Linked DNA regions of Arabidopsis thaliana. The protein of the gene in region 1 interacts with the protein of each later gene in a biochemical or structural test. Each region holds a gene or a part of one and is shown on either strand. Other genes may lie near its edges.

The links.
Region 2: the proteins of CYCD1;1 (region 1) and CDKB2;1 form a complex in vitro, tested with the Arabidopsis thaliana proteins (one study listed by BioGRID).

The regions. Positions count from the first base shown.
Region 1 is NC_003070.9:26,433,584-26,449,454, forward strand, and holds CYCD1;1 (CYCLIN D1;1), read left to right. Parts: upstream 1-5,972; 5' UTR 5,973-6,069; coding exon of another isoform or gene 6,070-6,213; 5' UTR 6,214-6,431; coding exon 6,432-6,704; intron 6,705-6,856; coding exon 6,857-6,943; intron 6,944-7,469; coding exon 7,470-7,568; intron 7,569-7,663; coding exon 7,664-7,865; intron 7,866-7,954; coding exon 7,955-8,091; intron 8,092-8,175; coding exon 8,176-8,397; 3' UTR 8,398-9,424; downstream 9,425-15,871. Other genes in the region: AT1G70200 (RNA-binding (RRM/RBD/RNP motifs) family protein), read right to left, coding at 1-158, 234-768; AT1G70209 (uncharacterized protein), read right to left, coding at 6,070-6,213; AT1G70220 (RNA-processing, Lsm domain-containing protein), read right to left, coding at 12,747-12,788, 12,866-12,989, 13,837-13,905, 13,987-14,426. UniProt on the Arabidopsis thaliana protein: May activate cell cycle in the root apical meristem (RAM) and promote embryonic root (radicle) protrusion.
Region 2 is NC_003070.9:28,715,697-28,731,567, forward strand, and holds CDKB2;1 (cyclin-dependent kinase B2;1), read right to left. Parts: upstream 6,855-15,871; 5' UTR 6,656-6,854; coding exon 6,429-6,655; intron 6,135-6,428; coding exon 5,993-6,134; intron 5,902-5,992; coding exon 5,840-5,901; intron 5,727-5,839; coding exon 5,615-5,726; intron 5,524-5,614; coding exon 5,430-5,523; intron 5,330-5,429; coding exon 5,260-5,329; intron 5,172-5,259; coding exon 5,033-5,171; intron 4,954-5,032; coding exon 4,858-4,953; 3' UTR 4,632-4,857; downstream 1-4,631. Other genes in the region: AT1G76520 (Auxin efflux carrier family protein), read left to right, coding at 1-12, 87-211, 302-423, 514-663, 737-829, 923-1,023, 1,144-1,382, 1,469-1,593; AT1G76530 (Auxin efflux carrier family protein), read left to right, coding at 2,711-2,845, 2,921-3,000, 3,073-3,197, 3,291-3,412, 3,444-3,656, 3,734-3,826, 3,918-4,018, 4,119-4,372 and 1 more; AT1G76550 (Phosphofructokinase family protein), read right to left, coding at 7,204-7,498, 7,582-7,685, 7,797-7,913, 7,994-8,098, 8,209-8,265, 8,343-8,387, 8,482-8,592, 8,704-8,777 and 10 more; CP12-3 (CP12 domain-containing protein 3), read left to right, coding at 12,589-12,993; AT1G76570 (Chlorophyll A-B binding family protein), read left to right, coding at 13,436-13,579, 13,663-13,829, 13,998-14,144, 14,353-14,485, 14,592-14,684, 14,759-15,058.

The DNA.
Region 1 (15,871 bases):
CACAGGATCCTTAGTCTTCTTATTCCCAGACACAGCTGGTGTTATACTCAAAACGCCACTTACTTCTTTAAACGCAACCTTAAGATCTCTATGAACATTCTTCTTCTTAGGAAGATTAGTCACACGAACACGAAACCCAATTTGAGTTTCTCCAGTTCCTTTACAACACAACAAAGCTAAATAAGATTCCAAACTATAACTCAATTAACAAAAAAAAGAAGAAAAGACGAAACCTTTGAGGAGATTATCGTCACGCTTAAGCTGTTGAGACTTGAGAGGATCATTCTTAAGCTTATTGAGATTAGCAGCTTGAGCTTTCCAACTTTGCTCAATTTCGTCGAGCAACTTATCTTCAATTAAAGTTTCGTACTTTTTACCTAAACCAAATCCACGAGGCTTTTTCTCTAACCATTTCTTCATCTTATCCATTGGTAAGAACTCTCCTTCATCTTCTTCTTCTTCTTCTCCTTCATCTTCTCCATCAAATTCACCCCAATCTTCATCATCTTCTTCATCATCATCGTCTGACTCCACAATAACGGAATCGCCACTTCTACGCTTGTTTACAGCGAATGAACAAAACCCATTACTCCTTTTTTCAATAACTTCTCGAAAGCTCTGTCGAATTCTATGAGAAATTGAGATATACTTAGACGTAGTACGCGCAGAAGAAATCAGATACACAGAACAAGAAGAAGAGGATGACTGAAAACGAGAGAGAGAATGAGAATGAAGCAAAACGGAGTTGCAGAGCGAAGCTCCGTTCATAGCTATGTGTTTTCTTTTCGTTATCCTCTTCTTCGCCGGAGAAGAAACTGAGTAGTCGCAACTTGCAAACAAAGCGACTTCAAAGAAATCACATAAATGGGCCTCTTACGGCCTTAATAAAAAGCCCATTACTTTGGAATACGATCCATTAGACCCATAAGTTACTTTCTGGCCTCAATCATACTCTGTCATAACTTGATGTAACACCATAAATGATATGTTTGCTTGCTTACATTTAGCATGACTGACCAATAATTTATATGGAATCGTACGTAATGGATTTTATTGAAATATGTATGAATATGTGAGACAACATCTTTCAAAGGTCCCATGTTTTTATGAACTTCATGGTCATATTGATATACACTTTTTTGTGCTAATACTGTTTTGATTAGCTGTGACAAATCAAAGGACCCAGCTCGAGTCATGAATGGAAGTTGTGAGAATTTATCAGGAAAATAAAAAAAAAGACAGAACAAAAGCTGAAGATAATAAGAATTAAAAAGTAATTTGTAAAGTTAAAAAAAAATAAAAACAGAGCAGAAAATACAAAAATGCTAGGCTGTGTGTAGACCCAATAGAGGGATGGGGATTAAGCTTTGTATATATTTACGTGTCTATTTTGGAAAATGGACCATTCTTGATTTGAAGTCATTAGATCTCTTCTTCTCAATGGGACCATTTCTTCATCCATGTTGGTCCGTTACACATGTGTGTGTTTCTGTAGTATAATACGTATCTTATATATACTTATAATCATACGGTTTATGACTTTTAGATTTTTTTGGGTTACACTTACATATATATGTCGTCTTAGGATTTGGTCTTAAATATCACCAACGAATAATCAATCTATAACTTAAGTAGTACAATGAGATATAAAATATTTATATCATTGAAATAAATGCAACTATACGTTAGTATTATATAGTCAAACATGCGCAAGACTTTAACATTTTAATAGGCTCCCTATGATTGTTGTTAATTAGTCTTCATAAATATTTAATGTTAGGTTGAGTTGGCCTACACTATTGAGTTCTAAAGTCAGTCAAAAGTCAATACAATATAGTTTTTCTGGTTGCTATTTCTATCATCTTTTCGGAAGTTTAGTAACTTTACAACTTTGAGGATATAAACATGTTTAGATAATGTCACTTATACACTTATATACTATATAGATTGAAAGTTTGAAACCACGATAGATATCTATAATTCTATATGACTAAGAAAAAGAATTTTACATTATAGAGTTTTTCATTAAAGAATAGCCTCAGTCTGTCAAGCCGCCATAGTAGTTAAATGATCTCGACTAAAGTTAATAGCTAAGATATAGACCAAACTAAAAAACTTAGTGGATAGTTAGATAAGCAGCAACTTAGGCACTATAACAATGATAATAACTACATAAAGCTTTTGAGTGTACTGTGTACATAATAAAAATTTGTTCGCAAATAGGTGCCTATATATTATCAAAACAAAAAGTGAGTTTATAAGATATGCTTTGGAAACAGAAAAAAACTTGATTTCCCAAAATTAACGAAATAATTCACATTTAGGTTGAAAAACGTATATGTGATTCATTAATTATTGGGGACACATCTTCACTTCTATATTAAAAATAGTTTCACATGTTTTGGGCATATATAGACGGTATACAAATGTAAATACTAAATATAACTAGATAAAGTCAAAGAATAGGATGTACTATAGTCGGTTTTTAACTAAGTGTTTGAAGTGATATCCTCTTAAATTTATTACAGTCATATTTTTCAATGTAATATCCTACGAATTCCATTTTAGGCTTCTTCTTGTTTTCATCAAAACAGTCCTCAGTTTTTATGTTTTTTTTCCTTCTATGCATGTCCCATTATTATTAATATTTTTGGTGATATGTGGTGTATGTCCCATTATTATGTGTTTTAAGTACGAATTATTTTCGTACCATTTAACTTTTTATATAGTTTTGACGAAGTGATAATATGATATAAAATGAGAAATACATGAACCATCGAAAACTATTTCCTTAAACTCTAAAGGAAATTAACATAATATATAAGGATGATTGAATTTTTACATATTTACATATATTTTTATGAGAAATATTTTTTCCATATTTAATGTATAGAAAAAATAATTTTAATACCAAAATTTGTAATTATATTTTTTTTTTTTTTGTATCGTTGTTATGTTATTACTTTTTGTTTTAATGTTAGATTATTACTAGGGGCTGGTTTAAATCCTCATCTTGTTTAAATTATAGTTTATGTATTTATTACGTATTATATAAACACATAAAAACAAACTAACTGAAATTAATTGTTGACGTGGAAACATATATCTTAGAGAAATGATGACATGTGACTGAATTTGATCGGAGCCTGTATTCCACTAAACAAGAAAGATAAGGAGGTTACTTAAACAAAAGAAGAAAGAAAAAAGAGAATCGAGACTAGCTAATAGAATTATTTGTAACAAGGGACAGAAATCGTGGTATAGCGAGTCATAATCAGCCAACGCCGACCAAAGTCCAAAAAGATTAAAGATGAAAAAAGGGTCCCTTTGAACATTTTTCGTGTGCAAATCTCGATGGCAACTCGTATCAGATTGTTTAGAACTAGTGTGTAATATTAATTTAGAGGAATATTTTCCTAGCTAGGTTTTTTATTTTTGGGATTTTGCTTAACTATACACTCTAATAATAAAAAGTTTGATTGTGGAGATTGTGATCAATATTATGGAGATTGTGAAAACTGAGCTATAAATTATAGTCAAAAGAAACTCAAAACCATACATTTTTATATTAACAGCTATTTTGCTATGGTTATATGCTTTTTTCAATCCATGCAAAATAACATGTTTTGGAGATCATTTTTTTTTTTTCCAAACAATTCAACCTTCAGAAACTAAATAAAATTACTTCAACCAAGACCAAAGTGGAAATGAGAAAGCAATGATCTTTAGTTACTGTGTGCACAGTGTATGTGAAAAATGTCACTATTCATCACTCATCATGCAAGTGCTTGTTGATATGTTTGATTAGAGACTGAAAAATGTGAAAAAGTTACAATTCATGTTGTTATACATAAAATTGGAGTCTGGCGAAAAAATCGATCAATGATCAGTGTATGAATATTATATAGGCCTCATTATCATTCCATTGAAATTGGTAGCTTCAATGATCTGAGTTCACCGATTTTTCAATGTTTTGATTATTCATTTTCAAGTTCTCCTTTAAAAAGAGGATTCTAGAAATGTTTCCTAAAACTAACTCAATGTAGAGAAAAAAAACATATATTGCTGAAAATGACTCGACCCACTTGTTAACTATTCATTATATTTCTAGTAACTCAACATGGACTCATGATCATCATTGTATATAACAAAAAAAAATGCATTATTATGATTACATATGCAAGAGTATATCAATAGGGTCCGAGTTGACTATGCTACAGGAGAACGAAAAAAAACATTTCTTAACGAGTAGTATCAATTAATGTGACGATGATAGTATAAGATCATGTCTAGTGATATCATACGTACCATATAATTAGATCTGAAATAACCATTCAACAACGATCATTGACTATAAGGCAATAGCTCCCATGAATCGTCTTGATTTTCTTTAAGAAAATAAGACATTAACAAAAATGACGAACCCTACCACGAGAATGTAGTCAGTCTGATAAATTGTTGTAGGTTGGGAGGTGCATATTTTCCCTCCTTTCAAATTTCAGTTTCTTGACTTCATTAATGTTAATATAAATAAACATATACTGCATGATAAAAATGTTAATTTAACTGTAAATGTGAATGCAAATCTGAATGTAAGCCATATGTTTTAAATATTGTCTACCTAAACAGAGAAATGAATTAGTAGCCCAACCTAGCCATAACAAATAAATAATGAAGAAGGTCTTCTTCCGCCGAAGATACCAAAAATATATTATCTTCTATTTCAAAAAGTATCCCATTTGTTTCTAATTTCTATGGTACAATGTAGTTGTTGAATTGTAATTTTCTCAATGTTAATTTCGTTATCTACGTAAGCATTGTCAACTATTTACATAGTACATACAAGTGATAGTTATATATTAGCTCTTCCATAATTTTTAATTCTTATCAATATGAAAATATTGACAAATTTATACAAATCTGCATAGAAAACACATACAAAACAAATATGAAACAATGTTAAAAAAAAAAAAAAATATGAAACATTTTTTCTAATACACCTGAAAACTAAAATAAGGGGTAAATATATTAGAGGTAAGCGAAAAATCTACTACAATCTAAACCGAGATCATCCCAATGGTATAATTAAAGTCTAAAATCTAAATCGAAGGAGCAAAGTATTTTGTAAGGCACACGTGAAAGAAAGTAACTACGGGAGTGATTAATAAAAACGGGCCAATGATTTAACACTTTTATGGCATAATTAAACCAAGAAGGGACCAAATAAATATGACATATTGATACAAAAAGGAATGTGAAGAAAATCTCCGGTTCTACGAAAAGGACTTCCACTACTCTTTCCCACACGCTCCAGACCACTGTTTGCTTTCCTCTGATTAACCAATCTCAATTAAACTACTAATTTATAATTCAAGATAATTAGATAACCAATCTTAAAATTTGGAATCTTCTTCCCTCACTTGATATTACAAAAAAAAAACTGATTTATCATACGGTTAATTCAAGAAAACAGCAAAAAAATTGCACTATAATGCAAAACATCAATTAATTACATTCGATTAAAAAATCATCATTGAATCTAAAATGGCCTCAAATCTATTGAGCATTTGTCATGTGCCTAAAATGGTTCAGGAGTTTTACATCTAATCACATAAAAAGCAAACAATAACCAAAAAAATTGCATTTTAGCAAATCAAATACTTATATATATACGTATGATTAAGCGTCATGACTTTAAAACCTCTGTAAAATTTTGATTTATTTTTCGATGCTTTTATTTTTTAACCAATAGTAATAAAGTCCAAATCTTAAATACGAAAAAATGTTTCTTTCTAAGCGACCAACAAAATGGTCCAAATCACAGAAAATGTTCCATAATCCAGGCCCATTAAGCTAATCACCAAGTAATACATTACACGTCACCAATTAATACATTACACGTACGGCCTTCTCTCTTCACGAGTAATATGCAAACAAACGTACATTAGCTGTAATGTACTCACTCATGCAACGTCTTAACCTGCCACGTATTACGTAATTACACCACTCCTTGTTCCTAACCTACGCATTTCACTTTAGCGCATGTTAGTCAAAAAACACAAACATAAACTACAAATAAAAAAACTCAAAACAAAACCCAATGAACGAACGGACCAGCCCCGTCTCGATTGATGGAACAGTGACAACAGTCCCGTTTTCTCGGGCATAACGGAAACGGTAACCGTCTCTCTGTTTCATTTGCAACAACACCATTTTTATAAATAAAAACACATTTAAATAAAAAATTATTAAAACCTCAAAAAATCTCTGTTTCTTGTTTATATATCCAAACAAATGAATGTGTTAAACCTTCACTCTTCTCTCCACACAAAATTCAAAAACCTCACATTTCACTTCTCTCTTCTCGCTTCTTCTAGATCTCACCGGTTTATCTAGCTCCGGTTTGATTCATCTCCGGTTATGGGGAGAGAATGAGGAGTTACCGTTTTAGTGATTATCTACACATGTCTGTTTCATTCTCTAACGATATGGATTTGTTTTGTGGAGAAGACTCCGGTGTGTTTTCCGGTGAGTCAACGGTTGATTTCTCGTCTTCCGAGGTTGATTCATGGCCTGGTGATTCTATCGCTTGTTTTATCGAAGACGAGCGTCACTTCGTTCCTGGACATGATTATCTCTCTAGATTTCAAACTCGATCTCTCGATGCTTCCGCTAGAGAAGATTCCGTCGCATGGATTCTCAAGGCGAGCCTATTCACTTTTTTTCTCTACCTCTCATTTTTTTCAATGCTAAAATACGCCGCCGGAGAGTGTGTAGACGCTAAAATACGCTGATCGAATCGTTACATGCAGAGAATCTTTTTTTTTACAGTAGTGTGGTATTGTTTGGTTTACAGGTACAAGCGTATTATAACTTTCAGCCTTTAACGGCGTACCTCGCCGTTAACTATATGGATCGGTTTCTTTACGCTCGTCGATTACCGGTAAATGTTTTAAAAACGTCAACGTTAGTTAATTCTATTGTCTCTGTTTTTTTATTATATTGATATGACAAATAACAACCCCAAAAAGTCAGTTTTATTTCCCTTTTTTTTTTTCAATGGATCGATTTGTTTATTGACTTTTCTTCAGAAAAAAATGAAAACGACTAAAAATTTATTAGAGCAAAAAATTATAATCGGTATAGAATAATTTAGTAGAAATTAATCTTATATTGGAATGTACGTAAACGATAGAACAGGAGCGGGCTGGGGAACTTTTTTTCGTTTTTTAATTATTTTATTGAAATTTATATTTTCGATAAAAAATTACATTGACGTTTACATAATAATAGTATACTTTTGCAGTAAACTTTCCACTTCATATATCGGCTTTATTGAAAACTTTGTAATCATAGTGTTAAAACGCTCCTACTACTATATAATATTTTAAATTAATTTTGTAATTAAACTTAATAGAGTATATAGTAATCAATGATTATATTAATCAGCTTTAATTTCTGTAAAATAGGAAACGAGTGGTTGGCCAATGCAACTTTTAGCAGTGGCATGCTTGTCTTTAGCTGCAAAGATGGAGGAAATTCTCGTTCCTTCTCTTTTTGATTTTCAGGTAAACATATATTATCATTCTTTCTTTAACATTCTGAATTTACTCTGTTTTTTTAAGAAACTTTAATTTATGTATCTCTGTATAATGTAATGTAGGTTGCAGGAGTGAAGTATTTATTTGAAGCAAAAACTATAAAAAGAATGGAACTTCTTGTTCTAAGTGTGTTAGATTGGAGACTAAGATCGGTTACACCGTTTGATTTCATTAGCTTCTTTGCTTACAAGATCGATCCTTCGGGTACCTTTCTCGGGTTCTTTATCTCCCATGCTACAGAGATTATACTCTCCAACATAAAAGGTACGTAATATTTGTATGATATATGATCCATAATGTCATTTAGGTAGCACATTTTTGGGTTGGTTCTAACACATGACCAATTAGTACAGAAGCGAGCTTTCTTGAGTACTGGCCATCGAGTATAGCTGCAGCCGCGATTCTCTGTGTAGCGAACGAGTTACCTTCTCTATCCTCTGTTGTCAATCCCCACGAGAGCCCTGAGACTTGGTGTGACGGATTGAGCAAAGTAGGATTTGTTATATCACGTTTAGATGGAACAAGGGAGTAACAGATTGCTAATTAATGTCTTTTGGTTATATTTGACTTTCAGGAGAAGATAGTGAGATGCTATAGACTGATGAAAGCGATGGCCATCGAGAATAACCGGTTAAATACACCAAAAGTGATAGCAAAGCTTCGAGTGAGTGTAAGGGCATCATCGACGTTAACAAGGCCAAGTGATGAATCCTCTTTCTCATCCTCTTCTCCTTGTAAAAGGAGAAAATTAAGTGGCTATTCATGGGTAGGTGATGAAACATCTACCTCTAATTAAAATTTGGGGAGTGAAAGTAGAGGACCAAGGAAACAAAACCTAGAAGAAAAAAAACCCTCTTCTGTTTAAGTAGAGTATATTTTTTAACAAGTACATAGTAATAAGGGAGTGATGAAGAAAAGTAAAAGTGTTTATTGGCTGAGTTAAAGTAATTAAGAGTTTTCCAACCAAGGGGAAGGAATAAGAGTTTTGGTTACAATTTCTTTTATGGAAAGGGTAAAAATTGGGTTTTGGGGTTGGTTGGTTGGTTGGGAGAGACGAAGCTCATCATTAATGGCTTTGCAGATTCCCAAGAAAGCAAAATGAGTAAGTGAGTGTAACACACACGTGTTAGAGAAAAGATATGATCATGTGAGTGTGTGTGTGTGAGAGAGAGAGAGAAGAGTATTTGCATTAGAGTCCTCATCACACAGGTACTGATGGATAAGACAGGGGAGCGTTTGCAAAAGATTTGTGAGTGGAGATTTTTCTGAGCTCTTTGTCTTAATGGATCGCAGCAGTTCATGGGACCCTTCCTCAGCTTCATCATCAAACAAAAAAAAAATCAAGTTGCGAAGTATATATAATTTGTTTTTTTGTTTGGATTTTTAAGATTTTTGATTCCTTGTGTGTGACTTCACGTGACGGAGGCGTGTGTCTCACGTGTTTGTTTTCTCTTCAAATCTTTTATTTTGGCGGGAAATTTTGTGTTTTTGATTTCTACGTATTCGTGGACTCCAAATGAGTTTTGTCACGGTGCGTTTTAGTAGCGTTTGCATGCGTGTAAGGTGTCACGTATGTGTATATATATGATTTTTTTTTGGTTTCTTGAAAGGTTGAATTTTATAAATAAAACGTTTCTATTATATGAAGGAAAAAGTACATTGAACTCAATAATGGTCGTGGAGAAGGTTAATAGCTACGTGAGAGGATAATATGAGTAGTGGTGAGATTTGATTTTGGTGTGGCCTGTGGGAGCACGAAGCATGTGAACATGTGTGTTGTGGATCGAGTGTATGTTTTATTGAACGACGAACGTAAAAAGACAAAAGAAAATTGTATTTGTTTAAGACCAAAAGAAAAAAAAAAGTATTTAATGTTCAAAATGTAATAACCTTCCTCATTTTTGCCATAATTAAACACATTTCTTTGTTTTTGTTTTTTTGGGCAAAAGATTAAGGGTTTTATATACCTATTTTAACAACAGTAAATATACAAAAGAAAATCAAATTATGAAAAAAACAAATTACAAAAGAAGTAAAAAATAGTGGTTAATTTCTCTCTTGATTTTAGTAAAGAGGAACAATTAATAGGAGCAGTAGCATACATGTGATGTTGATCTGTCTCCATGTCAGAGAAAGTGGTCTCACCACGAAACCATAACGTAGCTACACCGTTCTATCTCTCTCGAACCCCTCAAACATTAGCCACACAAAAATACCATCTTTGACTATCCATTTATATATGTATGCACACGATTTTACAAGTAAAAAAGGAAATAAGAAGTGAAAGAAAAAGAAAAAAACTTACTGCAAAACAAAACATTTTACAAAAGTGTGTTTTAATCTTATAACTAAGTTGGTTTGTGCCGACAGAAGTGCACCCCACGTCGAGAAAATGTCTCCATCCTCATAATTCTAGTTGATTAGTTTAGTAATGTGATTTATTTATTTTCCATCGACGACATTATTTGTTCACCCTCCAATGAACTAATCACTCGTCTCATAGTCATATGCTTTATACTAATCATTTACTTATCTATCGGATTACAACGTTATCTACTTTCTATAAATCCTCATGACGCTCCTCTTCTGTTTATTTATTATTTTGGTTTACCTCACTTTTCCCATTTTTCAACCATACACTGATAATATTGACATAAACAAATTTTAAATCCAAATATCAAACATGCACTGTTACCATTTTGATTCCACTCAAATGTACGTAAGGAAATGTGTTACTGCTTTTACTCTCGTACTAGTCACTATTTATTAACTTTTTCTTTCCTTTTACAAAAGGTTGGCATGGTTTTGTAAAATTCATGACATGAATTATGAATATAAATGGTATGTTGTAAGAGCAGAGCATCAATATGACATGACAACCTGAACGTGAACCAGATGGAGTTATAAATAAATACGTACAAGATAACTATTACAGGAATATAAATACAAAATATCTTTATAAGAGAAAGAATAGAAGCTTCACCCACTACTATTTAATCTAAAATGATGCAAAAGTAAAGAGAGAGTATGGTTAGGTGATTAGCAACTGCTAAATGCTAATTATAAATAAATAATGACCAGCCCACACATTTGGACATATTAATCATCGGGGGATTACCTTTATCATTGTTTATTAACTTTTTATTTATTTTAATTCTCTTGCGGGTTTTGATTAGGACACACGGGGACACAAAGGGACCTAAGCTTATATATCAGCGTATAAAGACAATCATCTTTTAATTACTATCTTAATTGATCCTTGTCCTGTTATTTGGTACACGCGTTTGCCATTAGTTGCATACCTTTTTGTATCATACACTTCACGAGCACTTGGTTTCTCAAACAGAATATACATTAATTTTCTTATAGAATAATGGATAATGACAACTAATGGGAATGGGGTAGAGACAAAACAATGAAATTATATGACAGGAGTTGCATTCATTTTAATTTATAGAAAATGGGCAGATTTATTAGTATTACTTTACATACACATGTAGTCATGTAGATGTATATGAGTTTGTATCGTGTATATAAGCGCATGTAGATCATGTGGATATTAGTAGGAATAAAAACAGAATATATAATACGCATATTTTTAACCAAATCGCCTATTTATACATTCGTATTTCATAGCTATTTTGATCATTTCTTCATAATTATACACTACGTACATGTTACCATTACATGCAATCTATATCAAACTCACGTTACTCACCTCTCCGACTACTAATCAAGTACGTAATGGGATTTAATTATAAGCACATACAAAAGCATATTTTAACATTTGTTCTTAAAGCGAAACAGAAGAAAAAAGAAATGCGAGGGAATATATGCTAGAACATGTAGAAACAAAGTTTGCACATGGATTCTTTATTTGCCTTTAATCTTTAGAGAAGAAGATACACTATATATTCATTAAAATAATCAAACTTTGGATGCTTGAAAAGTAGAAAGAATTATAAAGTGATATATGAGATGATATTTAGTGAAGGAATCATTAAAATAAAAAATAAAAGAAAAGAGAGAACAGAGAAGAATCAATGGTGGCATGGCCCGACTCGTAGGGCGTGAGAGAGTGAGTGAACTTAGTTTCTCGAGGGAGCGTCTCTCATTTGTATTTTACTTTAGAAAAAAAATCGTGGGTTTGCTTTTTGTTGTTTATGGTCACAAACCAAGATTTAGTCACTATTGCACTTTCATATCTCTAGTGGACAACGACGTTTCCTCCTTCCCAAAGTCCTTTGTTTCATCATCAATCACTCTTTACCTAACCCAACCTATTCATGTTGTTTACAAGGACACTCGCACACACGTGTGACCGAAGTTCGAACCATATAACCAGGCACAGTTAGAATATAGTTTCGATTCTTTTTGATTAATGTAAAAAGAGTGTAAGGAAAAAAGAGGATGAACGTGAGAGAAAGGAAATGAGCATAAAAGAAAACCAATGAGCATTGAGCACAGTGACTGAAAGCAATAAAGTAAGATTGTAAGTTTTTTTTCAGATTGAATTTTTTTTACAGAGACTTCAGCAAAGGGATGAAAAAGTAGAAAGTAGAAAGCGAAAGGCATTTTTTTTTTATGGGGGCGAAAGCAAAAGCGGATTAGAGAGGAGAAAGCTTTGTTTTAGTTAAAGAAAGACAAAAAGGAATGTAACACTCTTTTAGATTTGACATTAAAGAAGCTTGCGAATGTGACTTTGTAGGAGCCATATATCAATAATACATTGAATCCACATCATAGCTATAAATTAGTCATTTCTCTAATCACCATGCTTAATAAGATTTTCAATATGGGCATTGTTGTGATTTGGGCTATGACTTGGGAAAAGGCTAAAGACCCATTTGTAAAAAGTCGGTGACTTCACAATTTGTAGATCAAGGTCTTAGAATTTCACTATCCTAAGTCTTAACTAGTCCAAGCCATCCATTCACTAAAGCTTCAAGTCTCAAATCAGTGTAACAACAACATTCTCTGTGTTCTTGTCAATGTCAACACCAAAATTAAATCTCTGCAACTCAAAAATCTCTAAATCTTCTTCTCGTGAATCGAATTTACACATGGTATCACATCTAGGGTACTTCTAGGGATAAGAGACTTACGCTATTGCTCTATGTTCATTGAACAACTCCTTCAATATCCTCAGGTGTCACTGAGTTGCAACTTCTTTCTCTCCTGCCCCAGCTGTGACACAACAAAGAACTGTATAAATATGACATGAAACGCAAATATTACATTTATTACTTGGTATTGACACTTACCACATGCTTTACTCGTTCATTGACCATACGGGGTCCTCCATAGACACAATCAGAATGATAAGGGCTACGAATAAACACATCTCCCATTACCAGCATTTCTTTGTTCACCCAGCGTATAGGAAGCCTGGAGAATGCAGCATCACATAACAATGAATAAAAAAAGAGTATATGCTAAAAGTCAATAGAATGATTATCATCATAAGCATAAAACCATTTGTCACCACGGTTCTTAGATGCAAAACAGGGAAAACTCAAGGTCCACAACATAAGTAGCCTCTGACCATGTCGAGTTTTATATAATGTAACTCACCCCAAGGTAGCAAAAACTACATAATTACTTTCTTTGACAATTTTACTCCATTGTAGCTTATACTTTCAGCAATGCCATGACAAGTAGTCCAAGTGTCCAACATAAATAAACTCTAGTAAAGATTTGTGACTTGATAGCAGCAACAACTGAAGCATAGCTAAAGACACAATTCGTCAAATATATAGTCCCAAAAAGCTTGCATCTTCTAAAAACCACAAGCAATAAAAACGCTATGCCATGACAAGTATGAAAACTCTAGTAAAGATGTGAGATATGATGCTAATTTACAGGCATTTTCACAGTAGCAACAAATGAAGCAAAGCAAAAGACACAATCAACCATAGCGCAAATATTAGTTCCAAATAACTTACATCTTCTGGAAACCAAGAACAATACAAACACTAAATTGAATCCAGATTCAAAAACTAAACGATTCACAGTTACTTATATAAGCAAGCATCTGATCCAACCCTCGTTGCTAACAGAAACAAAGCACAAATCTGTTCACAAAAAGTAGCAAAAGCAGTAACAATGTAAGCTATTGTTATCTTCTTCACACAAAGAACTAACAAAAACCATTAACAAGATTTCAAACACTACTGGATTGTATTAAAATCATCATCATCATCCATTCAATATAAAGAACCAAAGAGATCCTTACGTCTTAGAAATCGCGTCAAAGATCATCTGCCCTTCTGCGGTAACACCAAAACCAATCTTCTCGACGTTACTGCATAATACATTAATCAAAATCAGTGATAAAATCGAAACAATCATAGAGATTTTCACAACAAATTGCAAAAACTATCACCTAATAGCATGATTCTCTTTCTCTATGAGTCCATCAAGATTAACCAAAGTATTTTTAGCGAGACGTTCCTTAACCCTCCCCAGATTCTTCATCTCCGTTATGTAATTCACATTCACCATCCGTAAGGATTTCGAATCCAGAGGTTTAGGCTTCGTGCCTTCTTGTAAAATCACTAATCCGTCAAGGAATACGCGAAAACAAACACAAGAAGATGAAATCAAGAAGGCGAAGTAGCAGAGATAAGAATCTACGAGCTGCGAGTAGCGATTTCGAAAAAGGATATCGAAAACGGCGAAGTTGGGTTCAGAATCATAAGCCAAGACGATGCCATTGAACTGATCTCCGGTGGTCAGCTTGACAGCGTATACCTTCCCCACCTCGAATTTCTCGTCCTCTCCTCCGCTGTCTACTTTAGCCACCGTAGCACTTGCTGGTTTCATGGCGGCGAACGAACTCTCCGGCGGTTTCTAAATCGCGGTTTTGAAAAAGTGACGGTTGCAAAATATCTTGGTTTATGGCGCGTGGACAATTAATAACAAACTGTAACCGTAAATGGGCTTCTGTTCAGAGCTATATAGGCCCATATAAACCTATCCTGGGTCGTCACTATTTAAGCTATTACCAGGCGTAATTTATTAATATAGCCCAATTAGAGTTTAGACCAGCTTACTCTTGACTCTTGAGCTTTGCATATAAGTTTTTTTTTTTTTTACAGAAATTTCAATTATTTTCACAAAGTATATACAATACTATTCTTATCCACTGGTAGACCTTTTGTTACTTAATAAGATGTTTATGCTAGATTTATTTTTATTTTACTTTTATTTTATTTTATTTTATTTTTATGTCTTTTTGTTAACTGCTTATGATGCTAGATATTAAGAGGAAAATGAAGTGATCCAGCTGGCATAAATTAAACTAATCATTTTATATTTTGTCAAAAGAGAAATTATTGGAAGCTGGTGAGCTACTACATCACCATTATCTCCTGTCACTACTTTTAATTTTCAAATCCTGAGTGTCAGTCTTTGAATGTTGGTTCTAAATCTTTACTAGATTTGTTTTTTCTTTTCATAATAATATTTAAATTTAAATAACAATTAACTGAAATCGCAGTGGGATGATTTGAATCTTGGTCATCTGACAATTTGTTTTTTTACCACGAATTTGGAAAAATTAAGTTTAATGTTTTGACCATTAATTTTATTGATGATTTTATTAGGCAAAGATGATTGGTTTGGGTAACAATTTGAATGATCAGAAAGAGGAGGGCACATGGAAGAATGGAATGGACCGAAGTTAACGGAGATGAAGACAACAAGTCGAAACACTCATCGCAAAACAAAACTATATAACACATCTTTCATCACATGTTGTTTGAGTCTATCTTCCACATGCGTTCTACACATAATGTTTGTGTCCACTTTATATTATTGACATTTAACAGCTATTAATTATGATGTAGTGGACAATTACTATCTCAAAATTCTTGTTTTACTAGCAGCTAGATTATTAAAATTAGTGATTTATATGTAAGTTTTTGATCCACATTTTTTTTTCAGTATTGAAATTGATATATATGTGTAGACTAGCATTTCACTGTTATATTTACCCATACTTGATCATAATTAGGTCAAGTGTACTATTCAGTACAAACTGCATGCGTCGTGAATCTGTGAAATCTTATTTTGAACTACAAATACAAATGTATCTTTTATTGCTCTAAAAGTTTTTACCGTCTAGTAAAATGATTACATGTTGGTGGGTAAAATGAATCATCTCTGCGTTGACTATGCCATGAAATCATTGATGCCGTACAACAGGCATCACTGTTTCTATCATAAAAATTGTGTAAAAGTGTCAAACTTTACTAACGTCACTCATC
Region 2 (15,871 bases), 2.3 Mb from region 1:
CTTGGTCAAAATGTAAGTCAATCTCAGATTTTGCATCTTGAGTCTGTAATCTTTGCTCTTTGGTTAATGAAAATGAGGATTTGCAGGTGGTTCATGCCGGTGAATGTTCTGCTTACATTCATCATTGGTTCATTACTTGGCTGGATTGTTATTGTCATCACTAAGCCTCCTTCACACCTTCGTGGTCTCATTCTTGGTTGTTGTGCTGCTGGTAACAAACCTTAACATGAATGTTTCTGATTTCAGAATCTGTTTAACTTGTGTTTTGCTTATGACTGTGGTAATGAATGAAACAAAACAGGGAATTTGGGGAATATGCCACTGATTATAATCCCAGCTGTTTGTAAAGAAAAAGGAGGTCCCTTTGGAGATCCTGAGAGTTGCCAGAAATATGGAATGGGTTATGTTGCTCTCTCCATGGCTGTAAGTTCTTCTTCTTCTTCTTCTTTGTCTTCTTCTTCTTCAAGGTTTTGTAATCAGTATGTCTCATGACAGTACTTGGTAACGTATCAGATGGGATCTATTTACATATGGACTTATGTATACAATCTTATGCGTGTGCTATCGAACTCTCCCGTTGAAACCCCTCCCTCTGTTGAATCCAACTACGACAGCTACAAAGTTCCCCTTATTTCTTCCAAGGAAGAAGAAAACAACCAAAAGGTTTCATCACATATGCACATGATCAGTAACTATTCATTTATCAAAGTTGGTAGTGACTGTGTGTATATGACAGGCTGGGAGGTGGGAAAAAGTCAAGCGGAGATTGGTTTCACTGTCACAAAAAGTCAACCTTAAGACAATTTTTGCTCCATCAACTATTGCTGCGGTTTGTGTTTCAATGGCTCTGTTTTATACATTTGAGACGTCACTCACACTAGTGTAATCTTTCTAATTACCCTTTTTGTTCTTCTGTTTCCAGATGATTGCACTTGTGATCGGGCTCATTACTCCTTTAAGGAAGCTAATAATCGGCACGGAAGCTCCTCTCCGGGTGCTTCAAGACTCAGTAACTCTAGTGGGGTAACTGCAGCTAAAATTAGACCATTATCTTAGCATTAGCTCAACAATGAATCATCTCTTGGAAAAACGTAACTCACTCATTCGAAAGCTTCTTATGTGTCTTGTTTCTTTTGGCTGAAGAGATGGGGCAGTTCCTGCAATGACCATGATTATAGGAGGAAACCTACTCAAAGGTTTGAGGAGTTCAGGAATGAAAATGTCCAGTATTATCGGCGTCTTGGTTGCGCGTTACGTTTTACTGCCTATGAGCGGTGTTTTAATCGTAAGAGGAGCATATAAGTTGGATTTAGTTACATCAGAGCCCTTATACCAATTCGTTCTTCTTCTTCAATATGCTGTCCCACCAGCCATGAATCTAGGTTCATTGCTCTGAAACCAACTCTTTAAAAAATACAGTTACTTCTTTCAGATAAGATCACTTCATTAGTTTCACTTACTCTTGCAGGTACAATTACTCAGTTATTTGGAACTGGGGAGAGTGAATGCTCAGTGATTATGCTCTGGACTTACTCTTTGGCTTCGATTGCACTCACTGTTTGGCCAACATTCTTCATGTGGCTTGTAGCTTAGAATAGACCCCCATACTCATCATGTTACATGTATTGTTTTGTTCCATTGATTCAAGAATTGTTCTTGGACTTCCAGATGATTGGATCAAGTATAATAGAGAACATATACTTATAAGTCTTTTGATACGAACTTTGGACTTACAGTCTGTAACTTACAGATAGAAGATCAAGTCCAGCCTCATCAAGAATCTGCTATTTTGATCCTCATTGTCTTGGGATCCATCAAGAGATTGTGAGGCTTAAAATCTCTGTTATGATACCCAAATCATTCTCTCTTGAAACAGGGTAAAACCAGAGAACAATCTACTTGACTACTTGTGACTGTGGCCATGGCAGAAAGCTATTCCTTTGTTTAGTTTGGTACACCTGAGAAAAATTTCAGATTGTTACATTTGGTTTAATAGACTATTACATATCAGTCAAGTGAGTACAAATGATGAGAGAAAAGAGTGGTGACAAAAAGCTCTAATTGGTGGATTTTGTGATAAATTTCTTTACATCTGTGTCCATGTATCTCAAACCTAATCGTACTCTAAGATCAATTAATGTCTCATCACGTCATATTTGAGATTTTGATGTATAACCTTCCACATCAGGGCTAAAGTGCATGCTAGACTCCAAGATATACTATATGTAATATATAAATTTGTAGCTAGTGAAACTGTGGAAAAACAAAAATTATAGTACTGAAACATTTTAGTTTATGAAACGATTCTTCAGAAAATAGATGACAACAACAGAAGTTTTTTTAAAATCAACGTTATTGTTCTTTACCATACGGTAAACACAATGCGACATATCCACATCTTCAGCAAGAACCACAAAGTAACATGGCACGTTTCCTAGTCGCTGTGACTAAAGGCATGACGATGGTTCCCTTATAATTTGTATTCTTTTTTTCTCAGATAAAGAGTTGGTGGTTATGATACGTTGGTTTTTTCATACGGAACAAAAATAATACTTACTCTATATCTCTCCTTCACTCTTCCTCTAAAAAGGTAACTATACCATTTCATTTGATTTCTCCATAAGTTATCGTCGTTTGGTTCATTGTTTCTTTATCTCAAATCATGTAATATATGGATTAAGTTTGCAGATTCTAACTTTTGGAAGTAGAGATGAAGCTTTTGGAGTTGTTCATAGCTTCATCGAAACCAGTTGTGGAGACTTTGTTGATAACATCAGTTGGATTTTATTTGGCTCTCGACACAGTCAATCTTCTTGGTCATGATGCTCGCAAACATTTGAACAACGTCCGTTTTTTAACTCTCTTCTTTAACAAATAATCTAAAAGAGTTAACTTAAATTTCTCTTTTGTTTGTGTATAGATTGTCTTCTATGTGTTTAGTCCTTCGCTTATTGGAAGCCGCTTAGCTGATAGTGTTACATATGAAAGCTTGGTCAAAATGTAAGTCAATATCAAATTTTGCATCATCTTTAAGCTCACTTGTTATAATGAAAATGAGGATTTGCATTGCAGGTGGTTTATGCCGGTTAATGTTCTGCTCACATTCATGATTGGTTCGTTACTCGGCTGGATTGTTATTGTCATAACTAAGCCTCCTTCACAGCTTCGTGGTCTCATCATTAGTTGTTGTGCTTCTGGTACAAACCTTGACATGATTTTAGAATCTTTTTGTCTTTCTTTGTATCGTATGTTTTGCTTATGAATGTGATGATGAATGAAACCAAAAACAGGGAATTTGGGGACTATGCCTCTCATTATAATCCCAGCCATTTGCAAGGAGAAAGGAGGTCCCTTTGGAGATTCTGAGAGTTGCGAGAAATACGGAATGGGTTATGTTACACTGTCCATGACTGTTAGTTCTTCCTCTCTTGTCTCTCTTCAAGGCTTTTTTTATCAGTGTGTATAAACATGACACTAATTGGTATGTATCAGGCGGGAACGGTTTACTCATGGACTTATATATAAATCTTATGCGTGTGCTATCAAACTCTCCCGTTGAAACACACACACACTCTATTGAATCCAACTATGATGACAGCTGCAAAGTCCAACTAATTTCTTCCAAGGAAGAAGAAAAAGAAGAAGACAACCATCAGGTCTCATTAATCAACAACTCTTCATCATCATCATCAGTGTTATTCATTTTGGCAGTGACTTTGTGTGTGTTTGACAGGTTGGGAGGTGGGAAGAAGTCAAGCAAAGAGTTGTTTCTCTGTCAAAGAAAGTCAACCTTGGGTCAATATTTGCTCCAGCAACTATTGCTGCAGTTTGTGTTTCAGTGGCACCTTTTTTATATACATTCAAGACATTCACACTAGTGTATATCTTTCTTATCTCTTCTTCTTCTGTTTTCTCAGATTATCGCGCTTGTGATTGGGCTTATTACTCCTTTAAGGAACCTAATAATCGGCACCGTAGCTCCTTTCCGTGTGATTCAAGACTCATTAACCCTATTGGGGTAATTGTAGAATAGTCTCATTATCTTAGAAGTAGCTCAACAAATGATTCATCTCTTTGAAAAACTCACTTTTTCTGTGTCTTGTTTCTTTTGGCTAAAGAGATGGGGCCATTCCTGCTATGACCCTGATTCTTGGAGGAAACTTACTTAAAGGAATGAGGAGGTCGGAAGTGAGGAGTTCAGAAATGAAAAACTCCTGCATTATCGGCGTCTTGGTAGCTCGTTACATTTTGCTACCTGTAAGCGGTGTTTTACTCGTGAGAGGAGCATACAAGTTGGATTTAGTAACCTCAGAACCCTTGTACCAATTCGTTCTTCTTCTTCAGTATGCTGTCCCACCAGCCATGAATCTAGGTGCATGGCTTGAAACCAACTCCTTAAAATACAGTTACTTCTTTCAGATAAGATACATCACTAGTTTCCCTTACTTTTCAGGTACAAAGACCCAATTATTCGGCGCTGGGGAGAGTGAATGCTCTGTGATTATGCTTTGGACTTACTCTTTGGCTGCAGTTTCACTCACTGTTTGGCCAACATTCTTCATGTGGCTTGTGACATAAATCCCCACACTCGATCTTGTTATATGTATCCATTTATTCAAGAACTTATTCTTAGACTTCCAGATGACTGGATCATTATAATTGCGAATAGTCTTAAGAACATTAAAGCCGTTAATCCAAATATTCGAATAGAAAGAAACAACAATCAGAAGTGATATATTATGCTAAAGAAAGGATGATTCATAGAGGGGGAAGCAGCACACTAGAGATATGCTTGAAAGAAGCAAAACTAGAAAAACCATAAAACTTGGAAAGATACTAACTGAAGATTTTAAATCCTTAGAGAGAGGACTTTTCTGGCAGATCATCAAAGTAAGGATGCTCCATAGCCATCTTTGCTGAGATTCGTTTCGCTGGCTCGTACTGCAGCATTTTCTGTTCCAGGAAGATAAAAACGCAATTAGTTCGTCTGTTGAGTTTGTTTTGGTAGCTAGTTAATAAACTTTAGACTTACAGATAGAAGATCAACTCCAGCCTCGTCGAGGTTTGGAACAGCAGAGGATAGAGTCGATGGTTTCCACTGTGGGTATTCATGCCAGTTCTTGAGTGTGCTCACTCCTGGCCACATTTCTTCATTGGGTGTCCCAAACAACCTGAGTTGTACACCGGAAAGAGCGGCAAAATGAAAAAAGGTTTTCTTATGTTTGTCATGTAAAAGGTGAAGAATCAACAAAGACTTACTTGAAAATATGGAGGAGCTGTTGGAGCTCAGAGTCTCCCTGAAAGATTGCTTGGTTGGTCACAAGTTCAGCTGTAAATGGTGAAGGAACAATGTTAATTGTTGTTGTTTAGTAACTTAAGATGATATCGCAGTGACTAGTGAAATCAACGAGTCTGAAAAGAACACATACCAAATATGCAGCCAACAGACCACATATCCACAGCTGTAGAGTAATGGGTGGCACCAAGAAGAACCTCTGGAGCTCTATACCAAAGAGTTAATATCTGTTGCAATGAACAACCGATTCAAAACCATAAGTTCTACAATACATACAAAGTGGGATAAGTGCAAGAAGCAGTGTCAAACATTGATTACCTCATGGGTATACTTCTTCATTGGCAGAGTGAAGGCTCTGGCTAAACCAAGATCTGCTATTTTGAGCCTCATTGTCTTGGGATCCATCAAGAGATTGTGAGGCTTGAGATCTCTGTTTTGAAACAAGGAGAAATAGTAAGAAGAAGAAATCTCTCTTCCAAGTTATTATCTAAAATCATTCTCACTTAGAAGTTGAAAACAAGGGAAAGCCAGAGAACAATTCACCTGTGCAATATCCCGTGACCATGGCAGAATGCCATACCTTTGCATAGTTGATACATCAAGCTCTGCAAATAACTTTTCAGAATGTTATGTTTGGTTCAAGTGAGCACAAATGAAGCGAGAAAGAGAGATGACAGTAATAAGGTGGTTAAAAACCTTGATAGTTTGGGTTGGAATGTTCTTGCCAGTGCTACGGAAACTTCTGATGAATTTCTTGACATCAGTGTCCATGTATTCAAAAACCAGGTACAGTACAGTTTTGCCTTCTTTGCTTAGTCCTTGCTTAACATCCATTAACCTGAAAAAGATGACAAATAAAGTTTCCGTATATAATTGATTTTGCAATCACTGGAAAACTAACTGATACAGCGATCCAGATCAAACTCTAGGGAAACATCTATCAACAGTTTCTCAGAGCCAAATCATCTAACAATTAGTAGACTCTTCGAACTGATTACTACGATTTGAAATTGAGATCTATCTAATCTGGAAAACAAGCGAGATAGTGAGAAATCGACTATATAAACCCTAACGCGACTACAAGATCGAGAATATGGGGGCAATTTTATCGAATCAGAGGTAAAACCCTAACCTGACGACGTGAGGATCACGAGCGAGCATTCGCAAAATGGAGATCTCGCGGAGAGTGGTGGAAGGAACGCCTTCTTCGTCCTCATGGAGACGCGTCTTCTTTAGAGCGACGATTTTCCCGGTAGCTTTCTCTCTGGCTCTGTAAACTTTCCCGTATGTCCCTTCACCAACTTTCTCAAGCTTCTCGAAAGCATCCATGGCGGAAACTGCTATAACTCCCTCGTCCATCGCTCTCTAAAATTCTTCTTCTCCGGCGCTCTCTCTCTCTCAGTTGGTTCTTATTGGGAAAGTGAATTGTCGGAGATCAAAGTGTAGATAGGTTATATAATTAAATGAGACCTGAAATTATAGAATCCTTATTCTTGGGCTTTCACAACGGACTGATTTTTCGAAATTCAAACTGGAGCGTGGAGGAGCGGTCTTTTCATAAACGCCTTTTTTTAATTTGCCACGTACTATAGTATTTAATTTTAATTTTTACATTTATTCATTTGTGTCCACTTGTCATATATATCCGTAGGTACTTTGATTTGGTCGCACCATATACAAATTATGATCGAGAAGGCAACAAGAAGATTAGTGAACCCAAACACAGACTTCTTCATTAAAAAAGCATTACTCAAATCCTTTAACTTTGAATATCCTTTTCCTAAACTCAACTTTGAACAATAAAGTTTGCGTAAATCAGAAGACGACTTCAAAATGGAAAGAGAGAGAGAGAGAGAGAGCTAATGAAGTTTATGGTTAAAGGGAAAACCAAAACAATAAAAAAATCTTTAAGCAAATTGCTGACCGCTGGTGGAAGAAGATGAGATCGTAGTGAGAACATCAGTCACCGAGGCCATAACACTCAATGCCGCTTTCAAAACATCTTGAGAGCAACCCGGTTTCACAATCGTCCTCACCTGATCAAGATACTCCTGCAGCTTCTTGATTTTCCCCATGTAATCCTGGTCTTCTACACACAGACTTACCGCCTTTGCATCTGCACCTGGACCATCATACTGGACTGGTCCTGGGTTTCGGTACATATCTTCCATCAAGAATTTCTGCGCGTTTTGTCTCAATAGACTGCAAAATCATTTGACAAATTATATCACTTGATTTCATGTTCATTCTAATCTTTGTCTAATGAGTGAGGAACAAAAGCTTACTCGTATGCTTTTCCTTTCAAGTCAACTGAAGCTGGATGAATTACAGGTCTACCAATCGTAGTAGAACCAGAATTTTGGGACCAACGCTTAACCGTCATCATTGCCTAAGGTTAAACAGAGAAAGAGATTGGGGTCAGTAAAACTGAAACTTGAAGTCAGAAATCAACACATATACTAAACAACTTTAGCCTTATAAATAAGAGACAAAACTCAACTGAGATAGGCGCAGCCCCGCATTTCCATTTGTTTACAGGACTCTTCAGGTTAGTCACTGTCGCCATGTAACCATTCAAACCAGCTGCGAGGATGTGGTAACATACATGTCCAAGAACCTGCATCAAAGTTATAATCAATGGTGTGAATGTCCATAATATTGAAGTTGCAATAGCATTTTAGTTTGGCGATCACATACATAGGCGTAGTCACAATCGAATTTTGATGGAAGAGATCCACGAGCTTGGTAACCAAAAAAGTGACAGATAGCGTTGAATTTCTTCCCTTTGTAGGTTCCTTCTTTCTGTCATTTTCAAAACTTAGTTTTAGGGACAACTTGAATATTCAGGCAAGGTTATTCAAAAAAATTTGAAAAAAATGGATTGTGACAAGTGAAAAAGATGTGCAACATACCAAGCGCTTGTTCATTTCAGTCTCCACAAGATAAGCCAGAAGTTTCTCCGTCTCAATCTAAGAAGAAAGTAAATGAGCAATTAGAATTCCAACTTTTTATAGCACAGTAACTCCATCATTTTCTTTCTTCTTACCTGGGATAGCTGAGCAGAATCATCAGACTCGGGATGGAGAAGTAGCTGCAGAAACAAAGAAGACAATTTATCATAAGAACACATACTCGTTTACATGTGAGAAAAAACAAAGAAAAGTACCATGTCAAAGAATTAGAACCTGTTTCTTAATGAATGGAGGCAAAAACTCAAACAAAGCAGATGACCAAGATGACAACTGAGTAGAAATATTATCAACCTGCACACCCTCCTTAAGCAATCCATGAATTTCCTGCATCGCACAACAACATGTAAATGCTTACTATGTTTTGGAACTCAAGAAACAATAAAAAATAGCACATTAAATGATAAATAGAAATGTTTGCCAGTATTGAATCGTTACCTTCAACAGAGCATAGAGTTCAGGAATACTCTCAACAAGCCCTTCAGGAATTAGGATGACTCCATGATTTTTGTCTGATACAAATAGACAGTTTATCAATAAAGTTAGGGAACAAGCAAAAGACATCACTTCCAACATACCAAAAGCTCGTTTTAGTTATCAGACCTTGTTCGGCTCTTGCTTGAACAGCATCACAGATTTGTTTTATGATGTCAAATATTGTGAGCTTAGATGCTGTAACCTCCTCACCCAGTATCACCTGAGACAATCGCATCAAATGCAAATGAGAAACTAGATGCAGCATTGCCAAGACTATCGATTGAATATATTCAGAATTTGGAAGAATACCATGTTGGGGTGAGACTGAAGTGTACACTCAAGGGCAACATGTGAATGCTTCCGACCCATGAGACGGACAAAGTAATAATACTGGCAATACGGAGGAAAGTATGTTATTGAGAAGAAAATTTGATAACAGAATCATAAGGAACCCAACTTCGCAATTATCAAACCATAATAAATTTCACATTATTAACCAACAAAATATAGGTTGGTTATGAGTGTCCTAGCAATCTTTCTAAAACATGATAACGTTTGGAAGGAATCAACATTTACCTTCTCTGCTGAAAGGGCATCGGTGCAGATATTGCTAATGAGCTGAGAATTCACCTGTACACAGTAGAATGATATTAGTCTAAATAACGAGTTAAAATGTTATTAACCTGAAAAGAACGGTGAGCGAAATGAAAGAATGTTGGCTACAATACCTACAAAGTAAAAGAAAAAAAAGCGCTAGATTTCAAAGTTACCTTGCATGTAGTATCGAAACCAACATTTGCTTCCACAAACTGATTCTTAAGATCTCCATTAATAGTGACCGGAACACCAACTACCTGAAACATATTGGTAATTTCTGCTGTTAGCGATATCAGGTGAAGTGCAAATGTCACTAAAGTGATTCATGATACAAGATCAGACAAAGAAAGAGAAAAACTGGGAAGAAATTAGGACCTTTGTTGAGCATTTTGCTTCAGCAAAAAATTCAGCAAGATGAGCGGCATCTGTGTTTGATGTTACACCTAACAAATAAAAACATTGATTTAGAAAATTCTGGGATGAACTTAAAAAATCATATTTACACAAGTTAAGAACAAAACATCTACTAAAACAGACACCCGAAAAAGAGGAAAAGTAGGTACCTCCAATGATAACTAGGCTATCCAATTTCAAATCCGTGCATGCTTTTAGTGCAGCATTGACCTGTTCGGTTGTTCTAATCTGATCCTTGGTTCTTCCAAGCATATCATAGCCACCTAATACGACATACATTTAAATGCCATATGTCAGAAAGCAGCAGAGATAAAGTTCTGAATAATCTTAATCAAACCACCAACCACCAACCTTGGTTTTTGTAAGTTTGGAGGACCTCATCAGTGATCTCCAGGGTCTTCTGGGCAAAGAGACCTTCAGAACCACCTGTTACAGGTAGCCAAAGTTTCATATTAATGACCAGGCACACATCAATACGGAAGTAAGATGTGACTTTATAGTAAGCAAACAATGAAGTTACAGAAATAAGAAAACCAACTAACAGATAAAAAACAGGGACTTACCCAAAAATCCAAGCAAAGTGTTCTTCGCGTTGTGCACTTTGAGAGCCTCGTATAGACCCCAAACTACATTGTGCCCACCAGGAGCCTGCCTTCCACAGAACACAATTCCGACCCTACAATAGAAAACAACTAGCTCTAACCAACAACAAAACCACAGAACAAGAAATTCCAGAGATCTATAAATATGCAGATGCATGCACACCTCTTCACTGGATGTTCAGTAATGATCTGAGCATCAGCAACTTTAGCAGTTGCCCTGAGGAAATGAGCCAAAGGCTGGCCTAGAGTATGTGGGAAGGCACGGGCAATGATATGAGCATCACCAGCCTTTGCCACAGTGGTTCCATCACCAAGTTCAACACGGACAGTAGTCCCCTGTAATGTACATTGAATCAATAACGAATTAAACTACGAATCATCCAACCAAAAAAAAAACTACGATTCAATCACTGTTCCAGAAAATCACTCCATCATGGTAGTTCACGTTGAAAGGCAATTCTACCTACCACACTAAACTGAAATGTTAAATCAGACGAGTAAGTATAAAAGGATCATAAACCCTAGATCCCGATTATAATAACAGTGTAAACAGATCTGCATGAACGGAAACAACATTGCAAGTTCCTCGAGTAGACAATCAAAATAAACAGCTCGAAGGGATTCAAAATATTCGCGACGTGACGAAATTGTGAGAAAACGAAACAGCAGAAGAGATGATATCAATGAAAAACATAGAGATCCAAACATTGGAGACAGTGAACGAGAGAAGGAAGCAAGAGATCTAAGGAAGATACGAATATACAAATAAAAGGAAGAAGGAGAAGTACCTGGAGACAAGGAGGAAGCTCAGGGTGGTACTGAGATCGGAGTTGTTGAAGAGGAGAGAGTTCTCTGGGGATTCCGAAATCTGAATCCATGGGCGATAACTTTTTAGGTTTTTGTGAGAAATTAGGTTGGTGAGAGTGTCAGAGAGACTCAGAGAAGATTCAGAGAAAGTTTTTTCCTTTGGCCCGTCAAAAGTATTTATATAGTATGCGGGGGACTTGGGCGATACGATCAACCAAACAGCCAAAATTTGGTCTTCTTCTTTTTTTTCTTTCAGTCCACGCTTTTTCTCGATCAGCCCTTGTTATTCTGGTTATTTACGAAAATGCCATTGGATATAAATATATACCCTTACCTTTTTCGGTTTGGTAATGTTTGGTTAGTGACCAAATTGTCTAATTCGGTTTGGTGTTCATATTTTATGGGTTTTAAAAGGTTTTAGACTGCAAATTTATCGAACTGTATGAGTGTACGTTTGGTTTTAAGTTTAGTTTATAAATGCGGTTAGGTTTTGGTTTAGTTTGAGTTGACAAATTCCCCACCTAAGTGCGACCAAACTTTCAAACTAAGAAAAAATAAAAGCAAAAAATAGGATATGATGATATGCTAAAAGGGAGAGTGAATGAGCACCAAAGGATAGGTGAAGGGTAAATACGGAAATAGCGAGAGAAAAAAAAAGAAGATGGAAATATTGGGGAATATAGCATTCAATAGGGAGATATGCTTTTACATGGTAATTACAAAGGAATAAAGGCAAACATATAGTAAAAGATACGACTCTCTCATTCCCTCTTCCCCAAGTATTATTATTGCCTGATAATTGATAAACTACCCATCGAAAATAAATATTTATTATGCACATGGATCTTTAAAAAAATGGATTTGTTTATTATTTGACCTGATTTGGGCTTTTAATAAGGCTTCTTATTTACTCTGTTGACCGTAGGAAAGGCCTGTCATTATTTAAAGATCTACCAACTGAATTTCATCAGTCAGTATCGATGGGATTAGGTATATTAATGGTAATTGTTATTTTCATAATATAGGCCTAGTGTGATAAGACCTCAAAAACAATAAGCTTTGATATTACGATGAGAGTAGGAGTATATAATAAAAGCATAAGATTATGATGATACAAAGGACATCAAAGTTGGTGAACACCTAGAACAACAAAAGGAGTAGGTAAAAGGGGTCAGCTTTGCATTGTGCTTATCTCAACTACCTTATGAGAAGAAAATAATATTTTTTTCTAAAGTCAAATGTTTGATGAGTGTAGTTTGGATAATGCCGCATTAAAAAAAAAAACGTGAAATGACAATCGAACATTGATGATTGGAGGGCTTATTTGTAATTACGATAACTATAGTCAAACGGCCCAAACCATTAATAATAAAAGGTGAATAAAGAATTTTCTGAAAGACGAAGAAGAGAAACGAAATTCGTAGAAATGATCTCGGGCTCGGCGACGGCGAGTCATGGGAGAGTGTTGCTTCCGTCACAAAGGGAGCGACGGCCCGTCTCAACTGGATCAAATATTTTACGTTTCAGAGAAACAGTACCGAGACAATTCAGCCTGATGATGGTGACGAAGGCGACGGCAAAGTATATGGGGACGAAGATGAGGGAGGAGAAACTATCGGAGATGATAGAGGAGAAAGTGAAGGAAGCGACAGAGGTTTGCGAGGCGGAAGAGATGTCGGAGGAGTGTAGAGTTGCGTGGGACGAAGTTGAAGAAGTGAGTCAAGCCAGAGCAGATCTGAGGATCAAGCTGAAGTTACTGAATCAGGATCCGCTCGAGAGTTTCTGCCAGGAGAATCCAGAGACCGACGAGTGTCGAATCTACGAAGACTAAAATTTGAGTTTTCGTGTTTTTAATGATTGTAGCTAATCTCAAAACAGAGGACTTAGAACAGAGACTGATTCTGATTAATAAATCTCAATCGTCCATTGAAACCGTTGTTCATCGTGTTCACTTACACCGATTGATTTGGAATGAAACTCTGCATTTTGGATCTTTTGCTTTGGAACAAAACGGTTGTTTTGATTGTTTATGGATCTAACGATGTGGCCTGTTACTTAATTGGGCCTATAATCTGGATCCGCCGAGTCCGGGCTTTTTAAAGAACTGGCGAATATCATTACACGTGGCCAGATCCATAACTTTGAAAATTTGGTTATTTTTAATTTTTGTGGAAAATTAGAGACCGCTTCTTGCTCTTCTAACTTCACCTCTGCTTTCTTCTTCTCGAGTGAAACAGACAGCCAAATCAAGATTTGACGGTGAGCCAAATTCCATGGCACTGTTTCAGGAGAAGCTTTCATCACTTTCCTCAAGTTATTCGTCAATTCATTCTCTTCCGAGGATTCTCGTGTCCAAGCCTCGTAATAGAATTGCCGTGACAAAGTCCCGTTCGATTTGCAGAGCTTCGTGGCAAGAGGTTTTTGTTGAATTTATCTTCTTACTAGAAATCATCATTTTGTTTTCTCCTCGTTCTTTTTGAAACTTTGCTGTTGTTTTTAGCTCGCCGGAGTGTTGGTTTTCTCGGCGATTCCATTCACTGCGGTTAAAGCAATTGCAAATAGCTCAATAGGAGTTTCTCTACGGCGGAGATTAGAAGAGAAAAAGAAGGAAGCCGTAGAGAATTCTTCAAGATTCAAGTCTAAAGCTCAGGAAGCTAGAAACGACAGGTAAGATTGAGTTTATCAGTGTTTTTTTGTGAAGGCAATGTTTGATAAAATGGTAGATAAATTCAGTTTTCTGCGGCAACGATTATTTGATAGATACATACAAAAGTTCTATGTTACTGTAACTATATGGATCAAACATTTCCTTGGTTTGTTCCTGTAAGTGTGCAGCAAGTGGTATGGAAAAGAACGTCCCCGTTGGTTTGGTCCAATCCCATATGATTATCCTCCATACCTTACAGGAGAACTTCCAGGGGATTATGGTTTCGACATTGCAGGACTTGGCAAAGATCGTTTGACCTTTGATAAGTATTTCAAGTGAGTCTTCTCCTTTCTATTTCTAACCTTAGCTTGTTCTGTAATTAGAGGCTGTCCTGATTCTTCTAACTAACTGTTGACTGTTGTTGTTTCTCATGATTGTTTGTTTGTTCTTTCTACCAATTCATGTGAGTGGACATTATGAAATTCACTCAAGTCGATCATGTTTCTGGTAAATAGTAGTTTAGTCCTATTGCTTGTTTTGCAGCTTTGAAATACTTCATGCTCGTTGGGCCATGCTTGCAGCATTGGGTGCTCTAATCCCGGAAGTATTTGATCTCACTGGAACTTTCCATTTTGCTGAACCCGTATGGTGGCGAGTCGGTTACTCCAAGCTTCAGGTTTCGCTCATTACTTAGCTCTATTTGTTCAAAAACATATTTTTTCACCATCTACTATCAAAGTACTAGTCAGTAGCATGATCGTGTACGCTTTCATTTTCACCAGGGAGAGACATTGGAGTACCTCGGCATCCCAGGGCTTCATGTAGCTGGAAGCCAAGGTGTCATTGTAATTGCCATTTGCCAAGTACTCTTGATGGTAATATACCTCGAGACTTGCTTTCCTTATCTCATACATTTCTCTTATACCAAAAACGTTTTTTTGCTATACAGGTAGGACCGGAATACGCAAGATACTGTGGCATTGAGGCCTTAGAGCCACTGGGAATATACTTGCCAGGAGACATTAACTATCCTGGAGGGACGCTTTTTGATCCCTTGAATCTTTCCGAGGATCCTGTAGCTTTTGAAGATCTTAAGGTTAAAGAGATTAAAAATGGACGATTGGCGATGGTCGCGTGGCTTGGATTTTATGCACAGGCTGCTTTCACTGGAAAAGGTCCTGTACAAAATCTTGTTGACCATGTCTCGGATCCATTACATAACAATCTGATTGCCATGCTTCAGACATGACAATGTGTGAATATATGTACATATATGTCAAAATAGAAAAGACAATGTGTGAAAATGTTTAATACCATATGTTACTTACTTAGCACATGAGATTCGTTGTTTTAAGAGTATTCACATTGTTTTGCTTTATCTCATAGTTTGGTAACCAACATTTAAAAGATAACTACATTAATCACTACCAACGAAAAGGTTGATAATACGACGATATACGTGTTCCATTTTTTGTGGGTGTGATACAAATGATCATGTGTAATGGGATATTTTTTTTGTCCTCGTTTGCAATTGAATCGCATCGTTATCACTTGTTATCAAAAGTTTAGAAACTATATACACGTTTTATTTATGGTATGGTGCGTCATGCGTGTCTTATTGAATTGGGGAGTTGGAGGCTCAAAATAAAACGAAATCGTCTGTGTTCTTTTTTCTTCTCTCAAACCTAAATTTTGCTTTAGTTATCTTCAGTTTTCCATAGTTTGTAACTATGTTTGTATAGCCCATTGTTTTGTTGTTTCTCTAAAATACAATCAATAATATTGATTATGGTCAACATCCAAAGTACTAATCTGATATCGACTGGATGTGTCCTCCTGTAGTTCCAGATTCAGTCATGGGATCTTATCATACTGTGAATTTAAAAGTTGTGTACCATTGTGAACAAAAAAAAAAAAAAAGATATATGTGTACCATATTTTGGATATATGTGTATGACTAGACTGACGATATTTTTCTCTTCTAGTATTTCAATCCTTTTTTTTTTCTTTCACAAGCATTTCAATCCTGTTTTTGGTCTGTAATGAAGGTCTTTTTTTCTAG